Linked DNA regions of Saccharomyces cerevisiae S288C. The main gene of each other region encodes a partner of the protein of the gene in region 3 in a complex. Each region holds a gene or a part of one and is shown on either strand. Other genes may lie near its edges.

Region 1 (2,758 bases), 540 kb from region 3:
AAGGTACAAATATAATTTAAGAAACCATAATGTTTTAGAGATGTTTGCCAAAAAGGATACGAATAAAGAATCTAATAAACAAAAATATTGTGTATCAAAAGTCATGAATACCAAAAAAAACAGCAACATCAAAAACAAATCGCTCGACTCATTTTTCCAGAAGGTAAATGGAGAAAAAGATGACAGGATTAAAGAATCCTCTGAAATTCCACAGCAAGCTAAAAAAAGAATCTCCACGCCAAAGTTGAATTTCAAGGATGTCTTTGGAAAGCCTCCCCTGTGCAGGCATGGGGAGGAATCCATGCTGAAAACATCGAAAACTTCGGCCAATCCAGGTAGAAAGTTCTGGATTTGCAAGAGATCTCGGGGTGATTCAAATAATACAGAATCATCTTGTGGGTTTTTTCAGTGGGTTTAAATATGAAAACGTCAGCTGATATTTTGGGAGAATAAAACACTTTCTTCTATGCCCAAGTTTTTTTAAATAATAAACTGATATTCTATATACATTTACAGTCTTGTTCTTCTTCTTCCATTACTTTTTTCAGCCATAGGCGGTCATCGTCAGTAACCTCCAGAAGTCTCAAACTGGAAGATTCTTGTAGAATTGACACTGTTAATGGTGAACCGACGAGTTCATCAGTAGATATGTATGTACTGATGGACGAAGAAAATGTATCTTTATCCGCATGATTTACTCTGATGTAAGCCAGCTTATCGTCAACATGCAGGAATGAATATTCTACACCTTCACCAAAAATACCATAACTACGTTTCAATGCGTTATTTAACCATTGCCTCCATGTCATTTGATCAATAGCATGTGCATCGTCCACATCTTGATCGAATGAAGTACTATAAATATTAAAGTACGTTAGTAGTTTATTTCTCTTCGGTAGTTGAGACTCAAAAAGTCAAAAATATACATACATTGATAACTTGAAATATTGCCATTCTCTAAAAGTCTTTTTCCCCATCACAACTGGCCATTTATCAAACTATTTATCTGCCTTTTCTTATTCTGATTATCCTATAAAGCTGAACAGTAAAGCTTGTAAAATTACGCGATGACTTATGTATTGAAGTTATGACGTTCTCGATGATCTTCAGTCAAACAACCACTTTCCCGTAACATATGATATATCCCACCCGCTTCCTTGTACGCATTATTACGGTTCTGCTTTGAAGATGGAGATTCAGTACTTGCAGTTATTTGAATTGCACCAGTACTGATCATGCCAAGTTTCTTTGGCTTGTGAAAGAACTTGATATTCTGTCTAAAGGATCTGCTCGTTTTTGTTTATGAAAAGTATATGGAATTATCTACTCTATGTAAAGTAATCTCTCTACTGGTTTTCGTTAGATGGCGCTGTAGAATCAGGCCTGTCGATGTTTTCCTCATTTCCTTCTGGTAATGTATCTGGAACATCGGTGGTCGTAGGTTGATCTGTATATGATGTATGCTCTTCTTCAAGTGTTGGAACATCATCTTCTTCGATTTCAAAATTACTACCCTGATCCATGAAACTGGATAAGTCATTGGCGTCTTCATCGTGGCCAGCAAGCAGGTCATCTGCTTCATCCAAAAATTGATCATGGATCAGGGATGAGTAGCTTGGACCTGTTCTGTTTCCAAACCTTCCTCTAATTTTGGAGATAGCATGCGCTATATTAGTTTTTGTGTGCTGTAAAAGAGACCCGATATTTGAGAAAACGTAAAATCCTGATTTCACAATGTTATTGACAACTCTGTCAGTATTATTGTTTTCTATTAAACCATCGTCACCTAGCCTAATTTCTCCAAACCTTGCAAATCCCCCATTTCTTCTGATACCTCTGTCATATACAAACCATGCGGCAAAGAAAATTATTAAAAGAATTGAAATGAAAATAAATGCAAAGGGACCGGCACTTACTGAGTACTTTTCCTTGAATTCTTTTTCTTTTCCTGGGCAAGCATGTGGTGATGAGGGAGCATCCAATTTCAGGCCACCCTCACAGGTTGATAGAGGGATCTTTCTGTAGCCTGACGATTCAAAATATTCGATTAAATCTGGCTCTTTTTTACAAACGTCTGCAGCATTTGCTGGGCTTAGTCCTTTGACTAATTTACAAGTACCATCGTTAGCTTTGTAAAAGTTGTAATCACACTCGAAATCTTGTCTTGTACAAGAACAGTTTTTGATATTTCTTGAAAATTCAGAAAGTGGAATATTCCCAATAAAACAATTTTCATCGGTTTTACGTAAAAACTCGGTTTGGTGACCAAATAGGCAATTGCTTTTGGAACCCAGAGGAGAGTATTTATAATCTGCGCTTTCCTTACCAGTGATGTCGAAATCACATTGTCTTTCGAAGATGTTTCTAAAATCAATTGTGTACGTTCTAAATGAGCTGCCTCCAATATCTGCTGCCTCTCCAAACAGCAAAAATCTCAAAGCAGAATCCCTGGGAACAGTGGTTATATCCTTTACTAAAACCTTATCAGCGCAGAATTTATAATCTTTCCATGTTTTACCAAAATCGGTAGAATAGGAAATAGAATCAGTTTCTGAGTTTTCAGGAACTAAAACTAAAATCCCACCGTGGTCACCGTATTCCCATTGGTGAGGAGTCTTCTTAACTTCAGCCCACGTTTCGCCACCATCGGTGGTGAAGAAGGTGGAACATTCTTTATATGGTAAAAGGTTAGGACCAACGTTGCCAACGCCGAACATCATTCCTAATGCAGAACCGGAAGAATATGTATCTCTAATAT
Region 2 (3,096 bases), on a different chromosome or scaffold from region 3:
TACTTGGAATCCATACAATTTTTCCATTTCCTGATCCTCGTCAATCCAAATGGATTTCATTTGAGGAAGCTCCATCTGTTGCAGCCTCTTTCCTTCAGTCATCCTTTAGAATTTATCACACAATTAATAAGCGAGTATTCAGAGTGAATTATAAACAATAAACAATAGAAATAAGTCTTTCTTAAAAAAAAGTAGTGATAGTCCGTACGAAGATAATTAATTGCAGAATAGTTTTCAATGGTTTCAGCTCTCAGTAAATCCTACAGGTACAATGTAACAGAATATGCCTTGGATCCCCAAATTTTTTTGTCTATTCGTTGTTTTCCTTCTCTATGGAAATCGTCGAAAAATTTCTTTGTTTTTTTTTTCCTTTATTGTTGTTGTCTTTTCGCGAATTCGCGTCGCGATTCGTGGATTGTGATGATAATAGCGATGTCTACTACCCGGGTACGTATTTAATTATCATTTATACATTATATGTTATAGGTTAGCGTATCGTTTTAAGGCTTGTGTCTTTTGGAAGCATGGCCTAATTGTTCAGCATCCATACTCCTTTTCACTACCTTGATGGTCTGGACGTCGTCGATGCCTTGAACATCGTTGACCACGTCATCGCCGTTTCCGCTACCACCACCGGTAACAATGGTCTGTTTGTGGCTCTTATTCCTTAAGCGGCCATTTAGGAGGACGAGTGAAGCTAGGTCTCCCATGGCCTTCGAACACCTATCGCTCGGAAGACCTAAATTCTTGATTAGACTTGTTACTCCTAATATGTTGCGGCACTCAAGTGGTGACATGGCACCACTGCCGATAACAATGCCTCTGGACCTCGAACTCCTGATGACGCTTCTTACATTGGATACGAACTGCCTCCGAGCTTGTACGTCACGCAAAGCATAGCCATAAACAATTTCAAGTTTTACTCCTCTGTTCACACAGCTGCATATGCTTTTATGCTTAAGGAAAGTAGGCAGGCGCGACCCGTACTGAAAGGTCAACAAGTCAATATCCAGATTGGTAGTTGATAAAGTAAGGCCCTTTTCACTGATTGGCAATGCTGCTACAATATCAAAGGCCTGGCTTATCTTGGAAAGAGACTGTCCCTTCGATGGATCGTCGATAATTAGCGTGATCCTGCTGTATAATTTTAGCCCTGTTCGATCCATCAATTCTCCAAACCTTCTCTTGATATCGATAGGATTTAACAGCTTAACATCGTTGGGGAATTTCTCGCTGTGGTTTACTGTAAAATTTATGGCGATGTGTGTATATCCCAACATATGCAATGTGGATAACGTTTTTATTAAATTGTTGACCGCCTGAGAAGTAACTTTGTCTGCATAGCTGTTCTGTGGCCACGGTACATTCAAATCTACCAGCATTCTCGGTTCTATAATGCTTTCACTTTTGTTTTTTGTGTCTGTTTAGGTTAAGTATTTTCTACTGGTAAAATGAAATTTTTTCATTTATGCGAGGTAAAATTCTGGGCATCGCACATACATTTTTCATGTTTTCTGGTAGTAGTAACAAAAGAGAGGCACTTGACAAATTAATCTGCCTTCAGACTGTTAAGGTTCGCTCGAATAAAGCATTAAGAGTGTATATATATCAGTATTTATAAATGTATATGTTCTGGCTGATATCCGCGCATTTTCAGTCCTTTCTCCAGTCACCATTGATACTTCTCGACCTGTTCAATGCTAATCTCATAGTGGCCAATTCTCCGATAGTTTTATTAACCTTGCAGCAGTTTGGGTCTAGATTTAAGTTATCAGCCAATTTGACGACATAGCCATTGATATACTCAATTTCAATGTCTCTTAAGAACAAAGTGTCTTGTCTCATTGAACTACTGTTCCTAGAATTGATGTCACAGCCAATTCTAGTGACTTCGGAGACCATGTTATCGGTTGTCAGTACTGCATTGACATCCATTTCTGGGTATTCTTCATTACCGCTGTATTTTTCGTGGTATTGAAACAATGGCCTATAAGCAACTCTCAATATTTGTAAACACTCGTCAATAATAGATGTGAAAACTGGACCGCAACTGGCCTTCATCTCACCATTGACACAATCTAGAATAGCCGTAACTGGATTCATGCATGCATTAACCAAAAATTTAAATAATTGACCAAAGAGCATTTCTTGATAAGTGGAATGTTCTATTCCAAATTCCTTGGCAAATTTTGGTTCTGTTAATAATTTTACTAATGAGTTATTGGCTGCATCGTCCTCGACTACGGATTTTTTTTGAATCATTTCTTCCTCAGTCCAAGGCAATTTGGCAATTTTCATACCAGCCCACCCAGCATGATTGAAAACTCCTGCTTTATCCTGATAAACGCCATGAGAAATGACACCCTGAAATAAATGTGGTCTGTTTTTTGAATCTGTAAAGATTTCTTCTCTCAATAGTTCTAAAACGCCCAGTCCATTCTGAATCAAAATTAAGTTTGTATTTTTATTAATATAAGGCAAATAAGGAGCTAGTGCTTCTTTGGTTTGGTAAGTCTTTGTAGTGACGACTAAGTTGTCAATAGGTTTTTTAGAGAAAGTTTCAGGGCATTCGCATTTCTCCACTGGATAAGAAAATATTGGCGAGCCTTCCAAATAAAGTTTGCGAATCGAAATGTTGTTCCCATTTGTCTTCTGAAATTGTGCAAGTCTTTCTTGTGATCTAAATAAGGGCACAACTAGGGCATTGGTAAATCTTAAAAGGTCAACTGCCAAAACGGTACCCATGGCACCCAACCCAAGAATATGAATAGTACTTCTGTGTGGTGCAGTCATATTGTACAGACTTTATCGTATACGTATATTATCGATTTCTCCTATCGATCGTAACATACAAAGGTGAGTATAAAGTATCTTGTTTTTTTAATATATTTGTATTAAGCTGAATGGCACGATAAGCCTTTCTCGAGAAACCGTTAGCGGCCGCCAATCTATAAAAAAAAGAAATCGGAAACATGAAATATGAATTTGAATAGAACGTGACTCAACAGAAAGTCACAAACCTAACCATAATAACCTTGCTATAGCATTTTTTGACTTAATTTTATATGTTCTTTTTTCAAGGGCTGTATAGTTCCA
Region 3 (3,251 bases):
GTGGAGAGAATAATTTGTACGGAAAAAGTTATACCTTTGCATGTCACGTGAACCAACAGAACATGGTAATACATAATGAAGAGAAGTTGCCTAAGTACCTTAGCTACAGTACCAAGTTCTAATCTCATCATTATCACACATTTACAAGACTATTTTTGCAGCAGATGGAGAGATCACTTCAAAAATGCGTTTATGAAACCTATTTATGACGAATTTTTTATTTATTTATTTAGGTAGTTTCTAACCTTCTCCTCGATAATGTTTGAGATCATAGTATTCAAAGTACTATCTTTCTTTGATATTTGGTTTTCCAACGTTAATAGAATTTGCTTCTCAATAATCTTCCCAGTCAAATCTACTTCAATATTAACCTCGTCGCCAATTTTCTTCAAAGGCATGATAACATTGTCTTGGGTGTGCTTTATCATACTAATATAGAAGGCTCCACCTTGCGAAAGTGGGTCAACCTTGATTATGGTCAAGGAAGTTCCATCTATACAAATGAATCCCTTTTCTACTATGTATTTAAAGTACTCTTGATCTCTTAACTGAAACCCAAAAATAATTGAATTCCCCTCAGGTCTTCTTGAGACAATATTAGCAACAGTGTCTACGTGACCCTGTACATAATGACCACCGAACCTAACGTCTTGAGATACCGCTCTCTCCAAGTTGACCTGGGTGCCTTGAATCCAGGAAGCGACATTACTTCGTTTTATAGTTTCTGGTGATATCCCAACTTTGAAGGAGTCGTTATTAAACTCGGTCACAGTAAGGCATACCCCATTTACGGCTATTGAATCTCCAACGTGACAATCGGTGAGAATACTCCCCGCATTGCCAATAGTAATAGAAACTCCTTGACCTCCACTTTCAGAGTCATCATATGGGTTGTTTTCCAAAACAGTCCCCATGCATTCTACAATACCAGTAAACATTGTGCTATGGTTACGATCTCACCAATTGGTTTGACATGTACGTTAGGAAGTACCGTCTTTTTATATCATTTGGATGGATCTGGAATATGACTAATAGATAGTTCAATAACCTTCCTCCATGGAAATTACCGAAAAAAAAGAAAAGGACGGAATTGGTACCCGGAGAGTACTTGGGCGGCTACTTTAGTTTTATATAAACCAATATCGAAGACAGTGATCTTTTTACAGCGAGCTTGAACACAAAATAACTACCGGGGGTAATCGTTCCCACAGAGGCAACATTAATGAATCCTGGGTTAACATTAATACCTACGCGACAAAAATCAATAAAAGAGATTGCTAGCCATAAATGAAAAAAGAGGAAAAAACATGCAGATTGTTTTTGAGCTTTTATGTCATAACAGGTGTATTTATAGCAGTATGAATAGTTTTACTAGCCAATATTCATTTTTTTTGAATCGATGTAAAATTTTTGGATACAAGAAAAATTGCACAATGTTAAATTTCTACAGAAAGCTCATGCAAAGGATGGAAAACTGAGCATTACTGGCAGCTTTGTGGGGTAGTTAAAGAAGTTTATTCTCCGTGGTTGCAGCTGTGGTGGTCTTTTTACTGCCTTTATATCCCAATTCATCCGCTTTTTACCCGGTCCGTTGATTTGAGAAAAAAAATGGTACTCAAAATAGTATGGCAAATATACTCGATGACATGAATAAGCGGAGAGCAATAATCTGTAAAGACTAAAGAAAATAAGCACGATTTGGACTCCCCTATTTGTCAGAATGGATAGAACTCAAACGTTTATTAAAGACTGTCTTTTCACGAAATGCCTGGAGGACCCTGAAAAGCCCTTTAATGAAAATAGATTTCAAGATACGTTGTTGCTACTGCCAACTGATGGCGGATTGACTTCAAGGCTTCAGAGACAGCAAAGAAAATCAAAGCTAAATCTTGACAATTTACAAAAGGTCTCCCAGTTAGAGAGTGCAGACAAACAGTTGGAAAAAAGAGATTACCAAAGAATCAACAAGAACTCTAAAATCGCATTAAGAGAGTACATCAATAATTGTAAAAAAAATACAAAAAAATGTCTGAAATTGGCATACGAAAATAAAATTACTGATAAGGAAGACCTTTTACACTACATAGAGGAGAAGCATCCAACGATATACGAATCATTACCGCAGTACGTTGATTTTGTACCGATGTATAAGGAACTATGGATTAACTATATTAAAGAACTTTTGAACATTACAAAAAACTTAAAAACATTCAATGGATCATTAGCATTATTAAAACTATCTATGGCAGACTATAATGGTGCGCTGTTACGCGTTACAAAGAGCAAAAATAAGACTTTAATAGGCCTTCAAGGCATTGTGATCTGGGACTCTCAGAAATTTTTTATCATGATTGTCAAGGGCAATATAATAGACGAAATAAAATGCATTCCAAAAAAGGGCACAGTATTTCAATTTGAAATCCCAATATCAGATGACGACGATTCGGCATTGAGATATAGTATACTAGGCGATAGGTTCAAGTACAGAAGTGTGGATCGTGCAGGCAGGAAGTTCAAAAGTCGTCGTTGTGATGATATGCTATATTATATACAGAATTAGTAAGAGTTATTACGTACTTCCATTTGCTTCCTCTTCATAAGAGTTCAGTGTTTCCTGAAGTTGTCCCTTTATCATTTCCAATAGTTTGGGATCCTGTAACTTAGACCGTACATAGACATCCAAGTCAAATTTCTTCTCACCATCACCATTATCCCCCTCCATTTTACTACCCAGCTTTAGGTAGTTGTCCTTGACCAATTGTGATTCAATCAATGCACTGGTTAGCCCTCTGTTTTTAAATATTAATTCTTCATCTTCGTTAACCATTTCTTTAACAGTACTGGCAACTCTTTTCCGAAGCGCTTGTTCAAAAGATTCACTATTCTCTTCTGTATTATTCCATGGGTTAGACAATATTTCTCTTTTCAACTTGTCAAAATGTCCCTCCTTCTTATACTTGTCTGATAGTCTTTTACTATCTTCTTGATTATACGCCATTTTTTGGATTTGAAATAAGCTCTACTCTCTTATACTGTGTTTCAGCTTCGCTAAATAAAGAACTGATTTTCTTACGTATTATTTCTCTAGTATCTCTCGTTTTCAAGATATAGAAAAATAAGACAAAAAAAAAGGCCATCATATTTATACAACGAAAAGTGTTTAATATGGAAGCAGCAAGCGGTATATGAACTCAGTTTTAAGGTGTAGTTTATTTTATAGTCATGTCCATTGACGAGGCTGTTGCCAGATA

The links. Proteins that work in one complex are often made in the same cells at the same time.
Region 1: POP4 (region 3) and POP8 share a complex: the UniProt entries of both Saccharomyces cerevisiae proteins name them as parts of the nuclear RNase P and RNase MRP complex.
Region 2: POP4 (region 3) and RPP1 share a complex: the UniProt entries of both Saccharomyces cerevisiae proteins name them as parts of the nuclear RNase P and RNase MRP complex.

Annotation. Positions count from the first base shown.
Region 1 is NC_001134.8:185,498-188,255, forward strand, and holds POP8 (ribonuclease P), read right to left. Parts: upstream 978-2,758; coding exon 931-977; intron 856-930; coding exon 501-855; downstream 1-500. Other genes in the region: DNA-(apurinic or apyrimidinic site) lyase APN2, read left to right, coding at 1-418; PEP1 (type I sorting receptor), read right to left, coding at 1,347-2,758. UniProt on the Saccharomyces cerevisiae protein: Component of ribonuclease P, a protein complex that generates mature tRNA molecules by cleaving their 5'-ends. Also a component of RNase MRP, which cleaves pre-rRNA sequences.
Region 2 is NC_001140.6:222,377-225,472, forward strand, and holds RPP1 (RNA-binding RNA processing protein RPP1), read right to left. Parts: upstream 1,383-3,096; coding exon 501-1,382; downstream 1-500. Other genes in the region: GIC1 (Gic1p), read right to left, coding at 1-102; 2-dehydropantoate 2-reductase PAN5, read right to left, coding at 1,654-2,793. UniProt on the Saccharomyces cerevisiae protein: Component of ribonuclease P, a protein complex that generates mature tRNA molecules by cleaving their 5'-ends. Also a component of RNase MRP, which cleaves pre-rRNA sequences.
Region 3 is NC_001134.8:727,165-730,415, forward strand, and holds POP4 (RNase P/RNase MRP complex subunit), read left to right. Parts: upstream 1-1,720; coding exon 1,721-2,560; downstream 2,561-3,251. Other genes in the region: RIB5 (riboflavin synthase), read right to left, coding at 222-938; SHG1 (Shg1p), read right to left, coding at 2,570-2,998; YBR259W (uncharacterized protein), read left to right, coding at 3,223-3,251. UniProt on the Saccharomyces cerevisiae protein: Required for 5.8S rRNA and tRNA processing; associated with RNase MRP and RNase P.